Macaca mulatta: one gene and its partner. The protein of the gene in region 1 interacts with the protein of each later gene in a biochemical or structural test. Links are inferred from orthologs where the notes say so. Each region holds a gene or a part of one and is shown in the gene's direction. Other genes may lie near its edges. The genes, in order: PRKCA and MGMT.

Region 1 (9,265 bases):
GCTTCGATTCTCCAGTCCGGCTAGGGCGGCCCAGTCCTCTGAGCTGATGAGACAGCCCGTCTGCCTGTATCCCCACCCCATTCCTCAACATTGACTTAAAACTCTGCAACTCTCATGTCCTGGGCTGCCGAGCCACCTGCATCAGGGATCACTGGGTAGGTGGTTCTCAGTCTTCATCATCTCATTTGAATGAGCTTTATCCAGAAATGATAGGTTCCATGATCAGGAAATTATATAACCTTCTAACCCAGGCTGTTTTTTTCACAGTGCCAGGCTTGACAGCTGATAATTTCAGAGCAGCCATCTGAAGCCAAAAATATGGGAATATAATTAGTATTCTATATTTCTATTAAAGTTCTGGAATTACAGAACAGACTTTCTATTCTGAAATGGCCAGTACCGTGGCACAGATGTATTTCCTCAGCAGGTGTCTCCTCCTCATAAAGGCTGCAGAACTGCTAATGAGCTGTGATAGAAAACCATTCTTCCCGCGTTCCCTGCCATTTGGGTAGACCTCGGGAAGCAGTCAGTGCTTCTGCAGCTGAATGAGCAAGGGAAGTGTGTTGTTTCTATACTGTTGGGTTTAGAGACCTATCTTTTGGAACTTGAGTTGGCATGATAGATCTCTAAAAAAAAAAAAATCTCATTTTCAATATTGTATGTATCAAAGTAGTGTGATTTTTGTGTGTGTGTTTCCTTATCTTGATTCTGTGGGTCGAAACAAGTTGGTTCTTGCAGAAAGTGAAAGACAAGAAATGAGCCGTGGGACAGGTGCCGGGTCTGTTCTTCTTGGACCCAGTACTGCTGTTAGGCTGTGGAATATTCCACTTCCTTAATAACCACGGAATTGGCATTCCCTCCAACTGTGCTTCCCAAGTGTGGGATGGGGCCACTGATGGGTGTGACTTCTGGTTGCACTTAAGGTGATTTCTGAAGGTACTATACGGATGTTAAAAAAACCTTAAATTACATGATGAGTTAGTTATTCCCAATTTTCTGTCCATCTCAGTTGAAGCAGCAAAGATTTCTGGGGCTGGAATATCCTTAAAACTCTAGCACTTGTTAATTTCCCCTTTGTAGCTAAGAGACTGAAGATCTCAGGCAACTGGATCCAGCTAGAAATGAGTAACATCGATTTTCGTTGTGTTTACTTTTCTGGTTACCTTCCATTTATGGCAAACAATCTTGGTTTTCTGTTTCCTGTAGTGATACATTTCCTTTTTAAATGGTGGCTATTAAAAAGGGAGCCAATTGAAAGAAAAATGTGAATAATAGTCGAAGTCTTCAAATGATGTCGGTGTGTTAGGCCAGGGAGCACACTCGGAGGGCGAGTGCTGAGTGCAGTGAAGAGTGCTGGCTGCACCTGAGGCTTCTCTGGGGAGCTTCACCATCCTGATGCCTGGGCCTCAACCCGGACCAAGTAGATCTGACTCTCTGAGGGCGCGGCCCAGGGATCAGGGTTTGACTAAAACATCCCAGGTGTTTCCAGGGTATAGCTGAGGTTGAGAACATCTGCCCACCTAGCCTGGGCTGCCCTCTGACTCCACATCTTTTTTTGGCAGGTGGGGGGATAGAGTCTCACTGTGTCGCCCAGGCTGGAGTGCAGTGGCACAATCTCGGCCCACTGCAGCCTCCGCCTCCCGGGTTCAAGCAATTCTCGTGCCTCAATCTCCTATCTGGGATTACAGGTGCCCACCAGCACACCCGGCTCCTTTTTGTATTTTTAGTAGAAACGGGGTTTCACCATGTTGGCCAGACGGGTCTCAAACTCCCAACAGCATGTGATCCACCCACCTCAGCCTCCCAAAGTGTTGGGATTTGACGCCACTTCTCGATCGCGTCTTTCCCTTGTTTCTCTCTTCTGTCTCTAGCCCTTATTCTCATCTGCTTCCCCACTTCAATTTTCCTCTTATGTTCTCTTTCCTAGCTTCCCCTCTTCCAGCTTCCTTACAACTACTCCTATGAGTAATGCCCCCTAGCATTGTCTCTTAGACTGACGTTCTTGAAACCATACAGTTGCAACCCTGTTAGAACATTGCCACACTGTACTGTTTTCCCTGACATTTGCTTGCCACTCCGTAAGCTGTCAGTGCAGTTTCTGCGCATCTAAGGCTTGTCAATTTTGTTCTCCACCAGTAACTTGTATGAAGAGCAATTATGATCATTGCTATTATGCTCTCACCGTGTGCCTATCACTGCTCTAAGCACTTTACATGTATGAGCCTACATAATCCTGACTTGAAGGAGATATAATTTTCCAGATGAGGAAACTTAGGGACATAAAATAGCTTGTCCACAGCCACAGAGTGGCAGAGCCAGAATGCAAACGCAGGCAGCCTTGCCCCAGATCCTACACTCTGAGATGGGACCCCAAGTTAGTTGCTCATAATCCTGATTCAGGTGTCCTGGCATGCCATGAGTCACACATCATACAGGCTGTTCTCTGCTGTGATAAGAAATTGAAATTTGGACCCACTATCTGCTTCAATGACATTTGGAATTGATAACTCTTTTTATTTTCAACTTATTTTATTTGCAACTTAAATGATAGTATCTCAGTAGGAAGCTCACAGCTTTAAATCCCATCAAGATTTTAACTCATCACCATTCAGAAGAGATCCTACTTAAATGATTTTTTGTGTGTGTTGTCTGTCAGGAATATAAATTGAAGATATAAAAGCCAGCACCCGCAATAATTCTGCAACTGGCAGGAGGCAACGCAGGACCTCTTGGTGGCCTTGATAAAGGTCTTCTTTGGCTTGTCCAGGATGTGACCTTCTGCAGCCTCCATTGTTAGACATTCCAGGGCATTTTCTGCCTTTTAAAAAGCATCTGATTCTCATTCTGGTGTTTAATCAGAGAGAGCACGCTGGCCTCTTTCCATTCCTCATGGGAGAGCTCCATTTTTGTGCTCAATCTTTGGTGATACTCAGGGTTGATGTTTTAGTGGGCTAGACCTTCTGCATTGGATTAAAACCTTTCACATGAGCTTGATGAATTATCCAGTGACCAAGTCCCCTGGGGGCCTTCAGCCCTGTAGATTTCAGCATGATAAGAGTGGAAACGAGTCCATCATGCCTGGGGTGTAGTGAGCACTCACATCATGGATTTTTTTTTTTTTTTTTTCATTTTCCAAGCCCCTAACCATGTAAGGTGTTTTATAAGCATTCTTTTACTCGAGTCTCTCAACAATTCTATACTACTGGAATTATGCCCCTCTTCATTTTTCTAGATGAAGAAACATAGGCTCAGAGACAAAGCTTCCCAGTGCTCAGGGTTACATGGTGAAGGAGGCAGAGTTCGCACGTACACCTGCTGAGCCACAGGGACCATGCCTGTGTGTTTCATTTATGTGCTATCTGCTCCCCGAGATGAATGAGGTTAGATATTTTCTTAGGAGAAGAAATACTTGGAAGGCACAAATGGGGTACGAGAAACATATATTCAGCTTCTCTGTGGCTAGCAGGCCTGAGCCAGCCCCCTCCCCCTCTGTATTTGAATGTAGTCCCATCTGTTGCCCACCTGTGTAAGGCTGCCAGGTAAGGAGGATGTAAGGCTGTTGGCTGGCAGGAGGCGGCACACAGTAGGTCCACAGACTAGTAAAGGCAATGCCTGTCTGACTTCTGATCTTAGGGCTGTACCTCCCTCATTTGTGTCCAAAGACCCAACATCTTTAGGATTCTCCCCCCGCCCCCTCCCCATCTAACCGTGCCCACTGACAACTCCAGTGCCTTCTTCTAAAGTTCTTTTGTAATTCTTAATAATTAAACTATGCCGATAAACTATGCTAATTGCCTAGATCTGTGGTTCTGCAACATTTATGGACATCAGAATCACCCGGAGGCTTGATAAACACAGACCACTGGACCCCACCCCAGAGTTCTGATTCAGGAGATGATGCCAGTGCCGCCGGTCCAGGGACCACACTGTGGGAACCACTGGACCAGGGAGCCTGGTCCCAGTTATACGTGTGTTGATGGTGTCTGACCAGTTGCATATCTGGTAATTCAGCCTCACTGGGAAAGATGCCATGGGAAGATAATGAGGAAGGCATTTGGGGTAGGAGGCTCAGGCCTTTGTCCCTTCATCATAGCAGTAGATAATTACCTTTTACGTTGATGTGCAGTGGCGTTAGACAGCTTCTCACGGTTGTGAGCCTCTGCCAGCTCTTAAATCTCCGAGCCTGCTTTCTTCTGTGGACGAAATGGCGTTTCCTTCTAATTATTTTTGATTCCCATATCAGGTTTCTCAAGCTAGGATTGCATTGGAAGTGCCTGGAGGTCTTGTTAAAGTGAGGATTCTGAGTTATTAAGTCTGAGGTGGGACCCAAGGTTCTACATGTCTAATGAGCTCCCAGGTGATGTAGATGTCGCTGGTCCATGGATCAGCACCGGGCAGCAATTCTGAGTTACAGCTGTATACAGCAATGGTGCTTGCCCCTGCTGCCCAGTAGAATCACCCAAGGAGCTTTTAAAAACAAATATTTGAGCCACATTCCTTGGAGATTCTAGTTTAATTCTGGGGATTAGAATTTTTAACTCCCCCATTCCCCAACTCCCTTGTGATTCCAATGTACAGTCAGAGTTGGAAGCCATTGGCCTTTACCCACAAAAAGGGATAACACCTTCTGGGAGGTCAGGTGCATGTGCGGCACCATGGACCAGGTCGGGCTGGTTGCCTCCATGTTGGGAGGGTGCGCCATTACTCCTGGGGTGCTGCAGAGGTCACCTGGGAATCTTGTTAAATAATGGATTCTGCTTCGGCAGGTTTGGAGTGGGACCTGGATCTCTGCATTTCTAATAGATATCTGAGTGTTGCTGATGCTGCCAGTCCAGGCTGGTGCTGAGTCCCAAGACCCGCCCACAAGGGCCCACACGATGCCTGTTATCTCTGCCGGTGGTGGCAGTGGGTAGCTTTTCTCATGACGAGCGTTAGAGGCGTTTGGCTTCCCACCATCTCTCTCCTTAAATGCCATCCTGACTTCTCTTTTACTCAGCTTGGTATTGGCACAGGACACTGGGCAATATAGGTCCATTCTCTTTTTGTAATGTTTTCTTCCTTCTCTCTTCACAGTACGAGATGCAAAAAATCTAATCCCTATGGATCCAAACGGGCTTTCAGATCCTTATGTGAAGCTGAAACTTATTCCTGATCCCAAGAATGAAAGCAAACAAAAAACCAAAACCATCCGCTCCACACTAAATCCCCAGTGGAATGAGTCCTTTACATTGTAAGTGGTCTCTCCTTGATCAAATCTCGTTCCTATACACCATGCAGTTGCCCACCTCATTGTTTGAGGTAATGAAGTAGGTTCATTATAAACGTCTTTAAACGTGTCTTCAGTCCTAAGACCTCCTCAGGCTGCCATTAGGGAGGTAGCTATTAGCACCTGTTTGATAGATAGTAATTTGATTTACCAAGAGTTGCATAATTCCGGCCTCAAATTATTATCATTATCTAACCTGGTTAAACAATTCTGTGTAAGGTATTAAAGATGATGTAAAAATGTATCCGGTGTGTCCACCTCTCGATAGACTTAGGTTCTTTTGAGAGTTAGGGGAGGGCATAAGACAAGAATTTAAATAATTTTTAGACCACAGAATGAGTGAGTAATATAGGAAGTGTTATTGCCACTGAAACGGCAAGATCATTCTTGCCTTCAAAGAGAGAAGACCTCCTGGAAAAGAAAGGTGACACTTAAAGCCAGCCTGGGAGGGTTGCTAGGATTTCAGAGGTAGAGATGGTAGAAGGGGAAGAAGGAAGGAGGGAATAAATAAGTCAGGAAGACTGAGTGCAGCTGAGCAAAAGCAGGAGGTCCCCTTTGTAGACCAGTATACAGGAAGCAGCTTTTCTGTGGACAACCAGAAAGGTAGCTATCTATTCTAGAGGGACCAGCAAGCTCTGCTCTGTAAAGGATCAGATAGTATATATTTTAGGCCTTGTGGGTCATATAGCCTCTGTTGCACCTGTACAACTTTCTAGTGCCAAAGCAGCCATAGGCAATATGTAAACAAATAACCATGGCTGGGTTCTAATAAAACTTTATTTATAAAAATAGACGGTGGGCTAGATTTGGCCCATGGGTCATAGTTTGTTAACTCCTCCTGTAGCGCTTTGGTTGCCAGCATAAGGGGTTGGTATTTTACTGGACCAGGAAGAGAATCAAATATACTATTTCTGTATCTCAGGCTCAAATCATGTACAGGTGGTATCTCCCAAGAAACCATGATCAAAATAACCTAGTGTTTGCATGTGTGTGTGTCTTGTAGCAAACTGAAACCTTCAGACAAAGACCGACGACTGTCTGTAGAAATCTGGGACTGGGATCGAACAACAAGGAATGACTTCATGGGATCCCTTTCCTTTGGGGTTTCGGAACTAATGAAGATGCCAGCCAGTGGATGGTATGGAAGCTGCTGAGGTTGAATATGTCTCAAAGCATCAGACCATTTAGACAGTTAGGTTTCAGTCTCTAAAATGTCAGTTGAGACCGGACATGGTGCCTCATGCCTATAATCCCAGCACTTCAAGAGGCCAAGGCAGGTGGATTGCTTGAGCCCTGAAGTTTGAGACCAGCCTGGGCAATATGGAGAAACCCCATCTCTACAAAAAATACAAAAATTAGCCGGGCGTGGTGGTATAACCTGTAGTCCCAGCTACTCAGGAGGCTGAGGCTTGAGGATCGCTTGAGCCCAGGAGGTTGAGGCTGCCGTGAGCCGTGATTCACCACTGCCCTCCAGCCTGGGCAACAGAGCTACCCTGTCTCAAAAATATAAAAATTTAAAAAAGTCAAATGTCTACTTCTCTACCTGTAGCCTCTCCATAGGATGCGTTTCACAAAACAGCTTGACTAGAGGTTCAGGAGAAGGCTTGCTAAACTTGCGGTGGTAACTCTCTTTCTCCTGTCTTTGAAAGGTACAAGTTGCTTAACCAAGAAGAAGGTGAGTACTACAATGTACCCATTCCAGAAGGGGACGAAGAAGGAAACATGGAACTCAGGCAGAAATTCGAGGTGAGGATAACAAAATGCCTGGAAACACCTTTCCTATAGAAAGCCTGACTTCAGGAACAGCCGAGATAGTGTGGTCACATTTTCGAAAGGCAAAAAAGTAATCTAAATGTTAATGATCTTTTTCTTTATTTAAAAACATAAATGTTGTTCACTCCCTTTCCTTGGCAAGCTGTTGACTTTTTATGACTCTTATCACTTAGAAAATGGAAACTGGAAATATCCCAGAAATGAAAGCATGGTTGATTTTTGCATAAGAGATCGATTTGCACATCACTGGGGAGAGAAGCAGCCTCTGAGGGGCAGGATTGTTCTTACAAGGGAGGACTTGTGCTCTTCTAAAAAGGAGGAAGTCATTTTGGCCTTTCCTTGGGAGCTCATTTGTGTGTAATCAGGCTATCATCTGAGACTTTTTTTTTCCCCCTGCAGAAAGTACAAGGTTCCTAATTTTGTTCTGAAAGACCAGCTTAAACAAATATGCCTTTGTGTGTGATCCTTTTTTATCTATATTCCAAGTGTTCAGCAAAGGCCACCTCCCTCTCTTCTTCCTCTTGGCATTTGTGTTTGCCTCTGTCCCGGATTCCCTGGTCTTTTTTCTTCTCCTCCTCTGCTGCTTACTTCTCTTTTTCTTCTCCTCTCTCTCCCTTCTCCTCTTCCTTTACCAGACATCTCCGCTTTTAGTAAACAGTTCTTTTCTCTAAGCACCTTCCTTATGTTTTAAAGTCACAACTTCTAATATTTTTCTGCTTCTCTCATCACGCTTCATTTTGGCTGTTCGAGGGACTCGTAGAGTAGCCTTTTCAGTCTGTGTAACAGGTTAATTCCTTTGTGAATCTTTCTCTTCTTCAGACTCATTAGAATTCCCCAGAATTTCCCCACTCTAGAGCAATACACGTGCACACGCACACATGTGTATAGGTGCTGAACTGTTACTGAAATGTTGACACTAAAGGGATGCTATTGCTCCTGTTTTCCTTCTTCTGTTGTTCTCTAAGAAACAGACAGATCTGGGGGGTAGGGAAGAGTGGTCTTGGGAGGATAATAAACCTCCTTCATGCACCCTGCAAAAGAAACATATAGGTCTTATCCAGAGAGAATGAATCCCAAAGGATGTAAAACATGCAGTTGTTCAAATTACTTTGTTAAACTGATGTTTGGTTAAAGTCTATGTTGGTGGCAAATACTAAATGGCAGGGGCTCTGGTTAGATGTCCTTGGGAGCACGAACGAGTGAAATGATTCACAGGTGATAAATGGCAGTGAATAGCAGGCCTCAGGATTGAGGCAGTAGGGAGTGGTGGAGACTGGGGTAAGCTGGTAAGCTTGAGCCCTGTCTGCAGGTGGCAGCTACTGCTACCCTGCCCGACTTGATGTTTCTCACACACGAGTCCAGGCCTGTGTTGCCAGATCTTCCTTCTTCAAGAGAAGACAGAAATCCAGGTTTTTATGTGATACATTCTGATTTATCTTAATGTTGGCAGAGTTCTAATGTTAAAACTTAGAACCAGGCCAGGTGCGGTGTCTCACTCCTGTAATCCCAGTACTTTGGGAGGTTGAGGCAGGCAGATCACTTGAGGTCAGGAGTTCAAGACTGGCCAACATGTCGAAACCCTATCTCTACTAAAAATACAAAAATTAGCTGGGTTTGGTGGCACGCGCTTGTACTCCCAGCTACTCCAGAGGCTGAGGCATGAGAATTGCTTAAACCTGGGAGGCGGAAGTTGCAGTGAGCCGAGTTCATGCCACTGCACTCCAGCCTGGGCAACAGAGCAAGACTCTGTCTCAAAAAAAAAAAAAAAAAAAAAAAAAATTTTAGAACTGTCCAGATATGGTAGCTCACACCTATAGTCCCAGCACTTTGGGAGGCCAAGGCAGGCAGGTTGCTTAAGCTCACAAGTTTGAAACCAGCCTGGGCAACGTGGCGAAACCCAGCCTCTACGAAAAATGCAAACACTAGCAGGGTGTGGTGGCATGCGCCCGTAATCCCAACTACTCGGTGGCTGAGGCACGAGAATCACTCGAACTCGGGAGGCAGAAGTTGCAGTGAGCCAAGATCACACCACTGTACTCCAGCCTGGGCAACAGAGTGAGACCCTGACTCAAGAAAACAAACAAAATCTTAGAACTCTGTGTAGGTCAAATGTGCATCTATTGCTTTAGACACCAGTAGGATCCAACCAGTCAGAACCAGCTGGCAGTCTCTGCTCTTCAAAAATAGAGGAGAGAAAAAATAATTTTAAAAAATTATTTGTATAGT
Region 2 (9,746 bases), on another chromosome or scaffold:
GACAAATTAGCTGGGCATGGTGGTGTGTGCCTGTAATCCCACCTACTTGGGAGGCTGAGGCAGGAAAATCGCTTGAACCCGGGCGGCAGAGGTTAGTGAGCCAAGATGGCACCATTGCACTACAGCCTGGGTGACAGAGAGAGACTCCAGTTCAAAAAAAGAAAAAGAGAGAAAAAAAAGGAAAAGGGCTTGCTGCAGGGAGAGTCAGCGCAGGGAGGGGCCTCCTTTGCACTCCCACTGCCCCCGCACATCTCCTGGGTAGAGCACTGCTCCAGAGAGCAAACTGTTTCCTTATCTGTGCACCATTCCACTACAAGCCCCACAAGGGCCTGCGTAAATCCATCTCCAGGCCCTGCACCCACAAACTGGCAAAGGAAGTTTCAGGAAAAGTCTTTCGAATAGGAGTCTTTGGGCTGCCTCTGGTTCATTTCCTTAGGAATTATCCTTCCTGCCCTTCTTGACACAAAAGGGCCTGAAGGCTTCCAGATCTCAACAGGAGCTCCCAGGGGCTCCTGGCAGGAGGATGTTCTGCCTCTCTGGAGGAATGCAAGAGCCAAGGAGCCCCTCCTGTTTTAGTTGCACCCCCATCCCCTTTCTCCACCCTGCACCATTCCCTTACCCTCTGTGTGAGGCAAAGCCTGAAGTCCCTCCTTCCCGCCCTTCCTCCTGCCTACTCATGGATTACACTCCCTACTGCAGTTACACCACAATGCTTCTGCCATGCTGACAACTAGTGTCACACAGGAGTGTAATCAGAAGCACCTGGCACCCAACCCCGCTACTGATGGCCTCCACCTTTTCATTTCAGGCTTCTTCCTCCAGAGTGCTTGAGGCTCCCTGGCCTCCTGGCCTCTCCCAGGTCCAAGGCACTGACTCCAGCTCTTGGCTCCAACGTTTACAGGAACACTGGGGCTAAGAAAATCAATTGTGTTAATCAGCAAAGCCCTCCACCAGAGATGCTATCCTAAAAGCAAACCATATGTAAAACACTTAAAGTGGGGAGCTCTGTAATATGTTTCTTTTGTTACACGACCATCACACATTTGTCCGGAGTTTGGGGCTTTCAAACCACATAAGGTTTTATGTGATCGTTATAAAATCCTTTCATTTCCCAAAGGTAGGGTAGTAAGGATTAAGGTTGACTACTGAAGACAGCTTTGTTGTAAATGGTCTCTAATGTCACAAAAGTAGCTTGGGAAGACAGGCTTATTAAACAAATTTCTTGGGTTGCAAATCATTAGAAGCAATCGCATGTCATGTTCATTTGCTTAACCCAAAAGGTATCTATTTGGATGTTTAAAGAAACTATGCAAATTAACATTGTTCCCAGTGCCCACAAGAAAGCTGGCTGATCTTAAAGGAAATCCAGGGAGCTCCTTGAAGAAGTCAGAATGGAGTTGAGCATACCCTTTTGCGGTTTTCCCACCTCTTTTGTAAAACGTTCTTCATAGGAATCTGTGTCTGGAGAAAAAGGGGTTGTGATTTGTTAATCCGAAGATGGGAGACCTCAAAGGAATCTCACCCAACTAGTCCTGCGCTGTCATCCTATCAACAGAGAAGTCAGGGGTTGCTCAGTGAGGGGTACGGCTGGCACCACATCTGAGCCTCCCTGTCCTGTGTTCCTTACTCTTCAGTGGACCCGGTGACCTCCTCGCTTTGGAGCCATCCTGTGTTCCTTTAACAGTAGGATGAATACGCAGGCGATGATGAGATTGTAATGGGACAAGGGGGAGAGGCGTGGGGGAGCTCTTGATGAAAACGGTTTTTGAAATTACCATGATGAAGGGAGGAGCTTGCACCAGCAAGTGTAGGGAGTGTGGGTTTGAGTTCTGCTCATCGGACAGCGTAAGCGGTCACATCCTTGAATCCTGGTCTTTTGCAGGCCAGTCATTGGTCAGGTGGTGGCCTTTTCCCTCTTGCCCCTCTGCGCTGAGACCCACATTCGGCTCCTGATCTTGGAGCCCTGACACAGTCCTTACCACTGAAGTAGCTGTGGCCCTTCATATAGTCCTTCCTACCACACCAGCAACGGGACTGAGTCCTGTCAGTGGAGCCAGGGCCAGGTCCACACGTCTCCCCAGGAAGCCAGCACTTTCTCTCGTGGACCACCTCCCCATTCCCACAGGGCCCTCCTAAAGGGCCTTTGGATGACCACATTGGCCTTTCTTTCCTAGGGTGGGGAATGAGAGATACTAAGACGGGCCAGTCTCTTTTTCTTAAGAGTTTAGGTATTCGTCTGAAAATATTATTCAGATAAACGTATGAGTCCTGTGTTAACTGCAAAACTACTTAACAGCACACTTGTTAGAATACTGGTCGGCACTCTGATTCCATTTCGGCATTGTTTTTCCTTCGGTTCTATTGGGATCCTGGTTCTAACTGGGTCCTGGTAGTAACAGGCTGTAAGCGGCCCGGTGTATAGCATCATTTCTCAGTAGTATGGTGTGGTGCTGGTGGTTTATTTTCCCTATGCACACATGGCCTAATATGGAAGGATAGTTTGTATACATGCACGGTACATGATCATAAGACTCCTTTACAGAGTATGAAACTGAGGATTAGAGAAGTCAGATGAGTTTCCCAAAGTCTTACAGAAGGCTGATAGAAAAAACCAGAGCCAAGGCCAAACATGTTTCATCTCTCCTTCCACATTAGTTGAAATGTGAATAGCTGCTTGGAACACAGTATTAAGAAGGATTCCGAGGCTGTGTCCAGGCTCAGTGGGGAAAAAGTGCCCTGATTTGACCATTATACTGTGTACTCAGGGCCTAGTTTATTTTCCACAAGCAGCCATTTAAAACATGTCTCATCCAAGGCACGGTCCAGGGTGAGGAACCTCAGAGGATCAATGATGCAGCCTGTATTGTCACCGGGGCTCATCCCAAAGCAAATCCTGCTGAAGTTCTCCTCTGAACAACCCTTATCACTCATGCTAACATGTTGGATCCTGCAAGTCACAAATACGAAGGTATGAGCATTGGCCAAATCCCAGCTGGGAAGCTACACTGGGAAGGCGAAGACCCCTTTCCATCAAGATAACAGAACCTAGAAGGCCCATAGCATGGTGCCTTAGAGCATGTGGGCATCGGATGGGATCCTTGAAACTGCCAAGGGGTGTGTGACCTCTCCGAAGCCTCCAGGGATGATACTACTCCCTGGGGTGGTTATGCCAACCATGTTAGAGACAATGGTTTCCGTACCCATTGCCTGGGGCTGCCATAATAAAGTGCCACACACTGAGTGGCTTTAAACAACAGAAACCTATTGTCTCACACTTCCGGAAGTTTGAATCCAAGGTGTGTTAGGACCCTGCTCCCTCCGAAGGCTCCAGGGAAGAGTCTGTCCTCTTTGGCTTCTGGCGGCTTGCAGGTGCAGCCCTCCACTCCTCCTCCCCACGCGGCCTTCTGCCTATAAGGACACGAGTCCTACTGGATGAGGGGCCCACTAATTGATGGCTTCATTTTAACTTGTTACCTCTGTAAAGTCCCCATATCCAAGTATGGTCACACTGTGAGGTACTGGGAGTTAGGACTCCAACATAGCTTTTCTGGTGGACACAATTCAGCTCCTAATAATGTCCACACAACCCCAAGCAGGGCCTGGCACCCTGTGCGCTTTCTGCAGAGCGACTGAGTCAGGCCCTGGCCGTGTCTAGGCCATCGGTGACTACAGCGCCTGGACGGGACCGCCCACCACAGGCCCTGGAGGCTGCCCCACGGCCCCCTGACAGGGTCTCTGCTGGTCTGAGGGTCCCTGACCCGGGAAGCGGCCTCAGGAGGGGAAAGACTCGCGCTCCGGGCTCAGTGTAGCCGCCCCGAGCAGGACTGGGATTCTCACTAAGCGGGCGCCGTCCTACGACCCCCGCGCGCCTTCAGGACCACTCGGGCACGTGGCAGGTCGCTTGCACGCCCGCGGACTATCCCTGTGACAGGAAAAGGTATGGGCTATTTGGCAAACTAAGGCACAGAACCTGAGGCGGAAGCTGGGAAGACGCTGCCTGGTTTGTACCGGCCAAAGGGCCGGGGTGTCAGGCGCACAGAGTAGCTAGCTCTGCTGCAGGACCCGGGCCCGCGGGTCGGCACCAGCGAGGCTGCGCAGAGTGGCTCAGGTCCGGCGCCGCCGCACTGGACATGCGCCGACCCGGTCGGGCGGGAACACCCCGCCCCGCCCCGGCCCCGCCCCCGCGCGCCCCGGCCCCGCCCCCGCGCGCTCTCTTGCTTTTCTCAGGTCCTCGGCTCCGCCCCGCTCTAGATCCCGCCCCATGCCGCCAGCCCCGCGCCCCCTCGGCCCCGCCCCCGCGCCCCGGATATGCTGGGACGGCCCGCGCCACTAGAACGCTTTGCGTGCCGGCGCCCGCAGGTCCTCGCGGTCCGCACCGTTTGCGACTTGGTGAGTGTCTGGGTCGCCTCGCTCCCGGCAGAGTTGCGGGGCTCTGCCTCGGGACGGCGGCAGTCTCGAGTGGTCCTGCAGGCGCCCTCACTCGGGTCTGGGGCCGCCCTGACAGCCACCTACCCCGGGCGAACTCCAGGTGCGCCCCAAGTGCCTCCAAAGTGTTGCCCAGCCTTCCCCCGGGCCTAGGGTTCCTGGACCAAGCTGCGCTGCAGTGACTGTGGCCTGGCGTGTGGCGGGGTTCGTGGCAGCCCCTGCCTTACCTCCGGGTGCCGGCTCCAGGCCCGGGCCCCGGGTTCTTCCTGCCCCTCCATGCTGCCAGCTTTCCCTCCGCCAGCTGCTCCGGGAAGCTTCCAGAAGCCCCTGCGCGGGCCTTGGCTTGCAGCAAGCCTTTAGCATACTTGGGCAGAGTCCCATATTTCCTTCCTGCTGGAGGCCAAGTTCTAGGGGCCTCCTCCTAACCATGGCTGGTGTTTGTGTACCTCACACCCTAATTGTATTCATCAATACCTGGGAGTAAGCAAGGCTCGCTGGAGAGCCACACACACTGGGCGCCGTAATTCCCACATTGGTGACAACACCGCAGAGGAGTTCTGAACTATGTATTTCGCACTCCTGGGTTCATCATCTCCTGAAATCTCAGGGTGGTGTTTGCTCTCAGTTGCCTCAGCTGGGTAGCTGGCTTTCTATCCTGGAAAGCAGACTTTGTACATGTGTGTGCAACCTTTGCCTGCTGGGACCATCATCAGACTGAGGGAAGCGGCTTGGTCCGGAGAGGGGTCACCACAGCTGTTCTCAGTAGAATATTAAGCAGAGAGAGTTAAGCACAGAGAGCTGAGAATTAGACTGGTTATTTACATAGACATCCAAATATAAACCTATAGAGTATCTGTGAAGGCAGACTCTCCCGTCATCTGCCCCATCCCTGGGCAGGTGACTAGGAGATGGTTTTGTTATTTTCAGGGCCCACTCAGTGGCTAAAACACTCTGAGAGATGAACAGATTTAAAAAAAACGAAAGCTTAGCACACTTGGTGGGTGGGGCTGTGAAAACTTTGAAGGAAACCGCGTCAAGAGCCTGGCTGATTGTTAACAACACATTAACTCAGAGGGCCAGGATACTTGCTGGGACCCAGAGCGTGCCTGCAAGTAGCAGAGGAGAGCTGGCCTTACTCTGCCGCCTGTCGTATCTGTCTTCCTGGGCCCTCCCTCTCCTGTTAGAATTTGAATAGTGGGGTGGTATCTGCCACAGTCAGGGGCCTGGATGAAGTAGGCCTCCAGTACAGAGCTATACTCAGGTACTTTTCAATGTATATATTTTAATAATAATAAAAAATATCTGGGCCAGGCACGGTGGCTCACGCCTGTAATCCCAGCACTTTGGGAGCCTGTGGTGGGTGGATCACCCGAGGTCGGAAGTTGGAGACCAGCCTGACCAACATGGTGAAACCCCGTTTCTACTAAAAATCCAAAAATTATCCAGGTGTGGTGGTGCGTGCCTGTAATCCCAGCTACTTGGGAGGCTGAGGCAGGAGAATTTCTTGAACCTGGGAGGTGGAGGTTGCAGTGAGCTGAGATTGCGCCATTGCACTCCAGCCTGGGCAACGAGAGTGAAACTCTGTCCCAAAGGAAAAAAAAATCTGTATCACAATAACGATTTAACTAATAGTATTAGGCACTACTTTAAAAAGGCTTTGCTGTTAGTAAGGTTGAAAGAAATAGAGCCCTAGGTAACATTGGGTAGCACTTTGTTCAGCTGCTCAGATTCTTGAAACTTGTTGAGGTCTTACGTTGATATCACCTGGGGCTTACCTTTCATTGTTTGGGTTTCCTTCCCAGGTGTCTCAATCAGGGCCTCCTCTCTTCTTTTGCAGGAAGAAGGGGGCAGGAAGGCCTGAAAAAGAACTTGCCTTCCCCATTGCCCCCTTAGAGTTTGTTCCTCTCCAGTCTTCTTCCTACCCTTTCTTAGGACACCAAAGCCCTGACTCTTCTGGTATTTTATAATAAAATAAACTTACTAAATTGTCCTGTTTTGCAGAGGACATACGTTTAGGAGCCAGTGACTCAAACCTTCCGGTTGGTTTTTTTTTTTTTTTTGGTGTTAATACCCTTTTCAATTTATAGTATATTCTTTTTGATAGAAAGAAAATGAAGGCAAAACTGAATTTTCTGCATTATCTTTTCCTTTAGCATTATTCTTTGATTGTTTTTGCGCTTCATTCTGACCCCCTTCCCCAATATAAAGTTCCTTGTTCAGATCCACTTGCCGTGAGGTTTTTGACTTCCCTTTGGGACTCTAGTTCCTCCAGGGGACACATTGAACCTCCCAGACCCTGAAGGGCCCTGTACTCATTTGGCTCTTGGGCTGCTGCTACAGTCCTTCCTGACTCTCTGTTTCCTGGGACAGGTAGCTTTTGATCCAGCTACTTTCTGGGCTCGGGTCTTACCACAGAATATTATTTTATTACTTTTAGAGACAAGGGCTTGCTCTGTCGCCCAGGCTGGAGTGCATAGCTCACTGCAGCCTCAAACTCCTGGGCTCAAGTGAACCTCCTGCTTTGACCTCCTGAGTAGCGGGGACTACAGGTGTGTGCCACCATGCCTGGCTAATATTTTTTTTAGAGGCAGGGTCTCCCTATATTGCCTAGGGTGGTCTCGAACTCCTGGACTCAAGTGATCTTCCCTCCTAGACCTCCCAAAGTGCTGGGATTACAGGCATGAGCCACCGTGTCTGGCCCTGCAGGATATTATTTAAACCAGACCTGAAGGATTTAAAGTCAGAGACACATAAACCATAACCTGACCGTGGGGTGGTATGGTCTTTATATAGACGCTCATGATGTACAAGCCAGCCCTACGCCCCACTCTTGGTTTGAAGTGAAAGGGTTTATCTGGGAGGGAGGAGGTTTGAGCTGTCCAGGAGGGCCGTTGGTTGGCATGAGGAGTTTGTGAACCTATGCTGTTAGCTCTGCAGGCCTGTCTTGGGCAGAGCTAAGTAGAAGTTGGAGACCTTGTGTTGTGGACCAAATGTTGCAAGATGTATGTTCTGTGGCTTTTCATTAACTGCTGCATGTCTGCTGGTTGGTGGAAATAGTCTGTTTTTTTTTTTTGACTTAAAAAAATTGACAGTACAGCTTATATAGGAGGGCTGCGTGGTTTGGGGAAAACTAATTAATGAATATAGTATGGAATGTAATGAATGACTTCCTCCTTCATAGAGCTATTAAAGTGATTTACGAAAAGGAAGAAATCATTTTTTTGATTTTGTTGATCTTTGAAGTATTAGAGTGGCTTTGGCTGGTGTGGTTCACCTGTAAAGGGATCAAACACTGAGACCTGCCAAGGTGCTGGGTCCCGGCAGCGAAGCCAGTTGGTGGCAGCCTGCACGCCCGAAGCTCCTCCAGCTAAATAACTGAATAGGCCGCCCTGGGGACTGCCCATGCAGATGCACGGAAGGATGAAACTTGGTTTTGACCCCACAAGTTGTTTTCAGTTGAATCAGTGGCTTAACAGCAGAGCCGGGTTCTCCAAGGAGGCCTCATGTCCCCTTCACCCCCCACCGGAGGTAGCTGTTCTAAAACCAGTAAAAAATTCTACAAAAACATTTTCTTATGGTTGTTAAATTGGTTATAGTGTGCGTAACCACGAAAGGAATGGTGAGAGCGCGATAAATGGCTGGTGTGTTCACTCTCCTGCTCCTAAAAGTTTCTTGGTAGAGTAATTCTCTACCCGTGATGCTTGTGAAGTGGGCAAAGTCTCCCACCCAGCCCTGTCGCCCATTCCCAGAAGCCTGAGCTGGGGGACACCGAATGGATAGTCCACCAGCGGCGTGGCGTGTAAAAGCAGGCACTTGTTAAATCTATTTGTTTTTATTATAGGCATCGTTCTGCCAGTCACAGTGATGTGTTTATGGACAATTTTCTGCAAGCACAGCGCGGGTGGCAGTTTTTACCGACAAATTGAGTCATATGCATAGAGGTTTAGAAAACTTTTACCCTATTGACAGATCAGGCAATTCTGGCACAGGATGTTCAGAGATATTTAGGTGGGTAAAGAGAGTGAATGAATCTCAGGGCAGAGAAGGAGATGGGGCATTGTATGTTGAAATGTAATAATTGCTAGTTATTTATCATTTGTTTTTAAACTTTTAGCTACATTTTACTCTCCAACCAAGAGGACTCGGGTGGGCAGCCAGGGATGTCATGTTCAGGCGTCTCTCCTGCTTGTGTGGGGTAAGAGCCACCACCGGAATGCGATTCCGGCAAGGCCTGACGAGTCACAGCCCCTCGAACCTGTTGCTCTCCGTAAAGTGGGGTCTTCACAAGCAACAGCGGCAGAGTGTTTCTCTGAGGGTGGCCTGGGCCCTCTGCATCAGAATTACTGTGGGTGCTGGCTAGAGAGGTCTCTCGATTACAGGGCCCCATGGCAGACCTACAGGATCAGAACCTAGGGATGCCAGGGGATTCTGGCAGACCCTAATGCTTGAGCACCTCTAGGGAAGTCCTTAGGATCCTCTGGGAAGTAGCACTGTCCAGCCCAGGCAAGCTCCAAGTCCCCGTTCCAGAAGGATCCATTGGCAGTTGGCATTGCTGCAGGTTGTCTGTGCATATGGGTCAGAGTAAGGTTTTGTAACTCCTGAGAGATGTGAATCTCTTCAGATTGCAAACCCAACATGTTATCATAGCATTCGAATTTTCAGTTTTGTGGTTATGACCAGGTGCAGATGTTACCAAAACTTTAGCGTTAGTTTTAGCGTTAGTTTTACAAACAAATGTGAAGAATGGACAGCCATATCATATTTCACCCCCCCTTTCCTTTTGAGAGGGTTGTCTTGTTTTTATCCCCTGCTGGGTCAAAGCATTTTCCTGGTCTCAGGTGAGGGTTAACTTTCAGAGGCACAGCTGAATACATTTTGTGGAACAGAATTGAGCTTTTCTACAGAAAGTGCCAGAACCGTGTGTGGGAGTGATGCTCTTTCCTAGCTGGGTCACCCTGGGAAACTCTTAGCCCTCCAGGCACCTCCTCATCTATTGGGTGGGGACGATCATGCTTATTCTGTCTACCTGGGTAGTATAAGCACACGAGACAATAAATCCTTATTTTTTTTTAAGTAAAATTTTACCCACTACATAGGTAGAAATTTTAATTTGGAGCTGAGTCTCATGGAAGGATGAAACGAGAAGACGGTGAAGAACCATTTCGAGCCCTTGTTTTCCCCGAGTCCAGTCCGAATCTTTATTTTGCAGATCTGCACGCACCCAAGCCCTCACCGGGGGCGTGTGCATGGCAGTCAGGAGCGCACCTTCTGGGAACAGACTGGCTTCCATTTGGACCTGGCTTCACGAGTTATAATCCTGT

What was found.
Region 2: of the proteins of PRKCA (region 1) and MGMT, one has a biochemical effect on the other in vitro, tested with the Homo sapiens proteins (2 studies listed by BioGRID). The link is inferred for Macaca mulatta from reciprocal best matches to the Homo sapiens genes PRKCA and MGMT.

Annotation. Positions count from the first base shown.
Region 1 is NC_133421.1:76,434,590-76,443,854, forward strand, and holds part of PRKCA (protein kinase C alpha type), read left to right. Parts: intron 1-5,073; coding exon 5,074-5,230; intron 5,231-6,269; coding exon 6,270-6,404; intron 6,405-6,915; coding exon 6,916-7,012; intron 7,013-9,265. UniProt on the Homo sapiens protein: Calcium-activated, phospholipid- and diacylglycerol (DAG)-dependent serine/threonine-protein kinase that is involved in positive and negative regulation of cell proliferation, apoptosis, differentiation, migration and adhesion, tumorigenesis, cardiac hypertrophy, angiogenesis, platelet function and inflammation, by directly phosphorylating targets such as RAF1, BCL2, CSPG4, TNNT2/CTNT, or activating signaling cascade involving MAPK1/3 (ERK1/2) and RAP1GAP.
Region 2 is NC_133414.1:141,515,441-141,525,186, forward strand, and holds the start of MGMT (methylated-DNA--protein-cysteine methyltransferase), read left to right. Parts: upstream 1-4,299; 5' UTR 4,300-4,308; coding exon of another isoform or gene 4,309-4,389; intron 4,390-4,652; exon of another isoform or gene 4,653-4,739; intron 4,740-9,746. UniProt on the Homo sapiens protein: Involved in the cellular defense against the biological effects of O6-methylguanine (O6-MeG) and O4-methylthymine (O4-MeT) in DNA. Repairs the methylated nucleobase in DNA by stoichiometrically transferring the methyl group to a cysteine residue in the enzyme.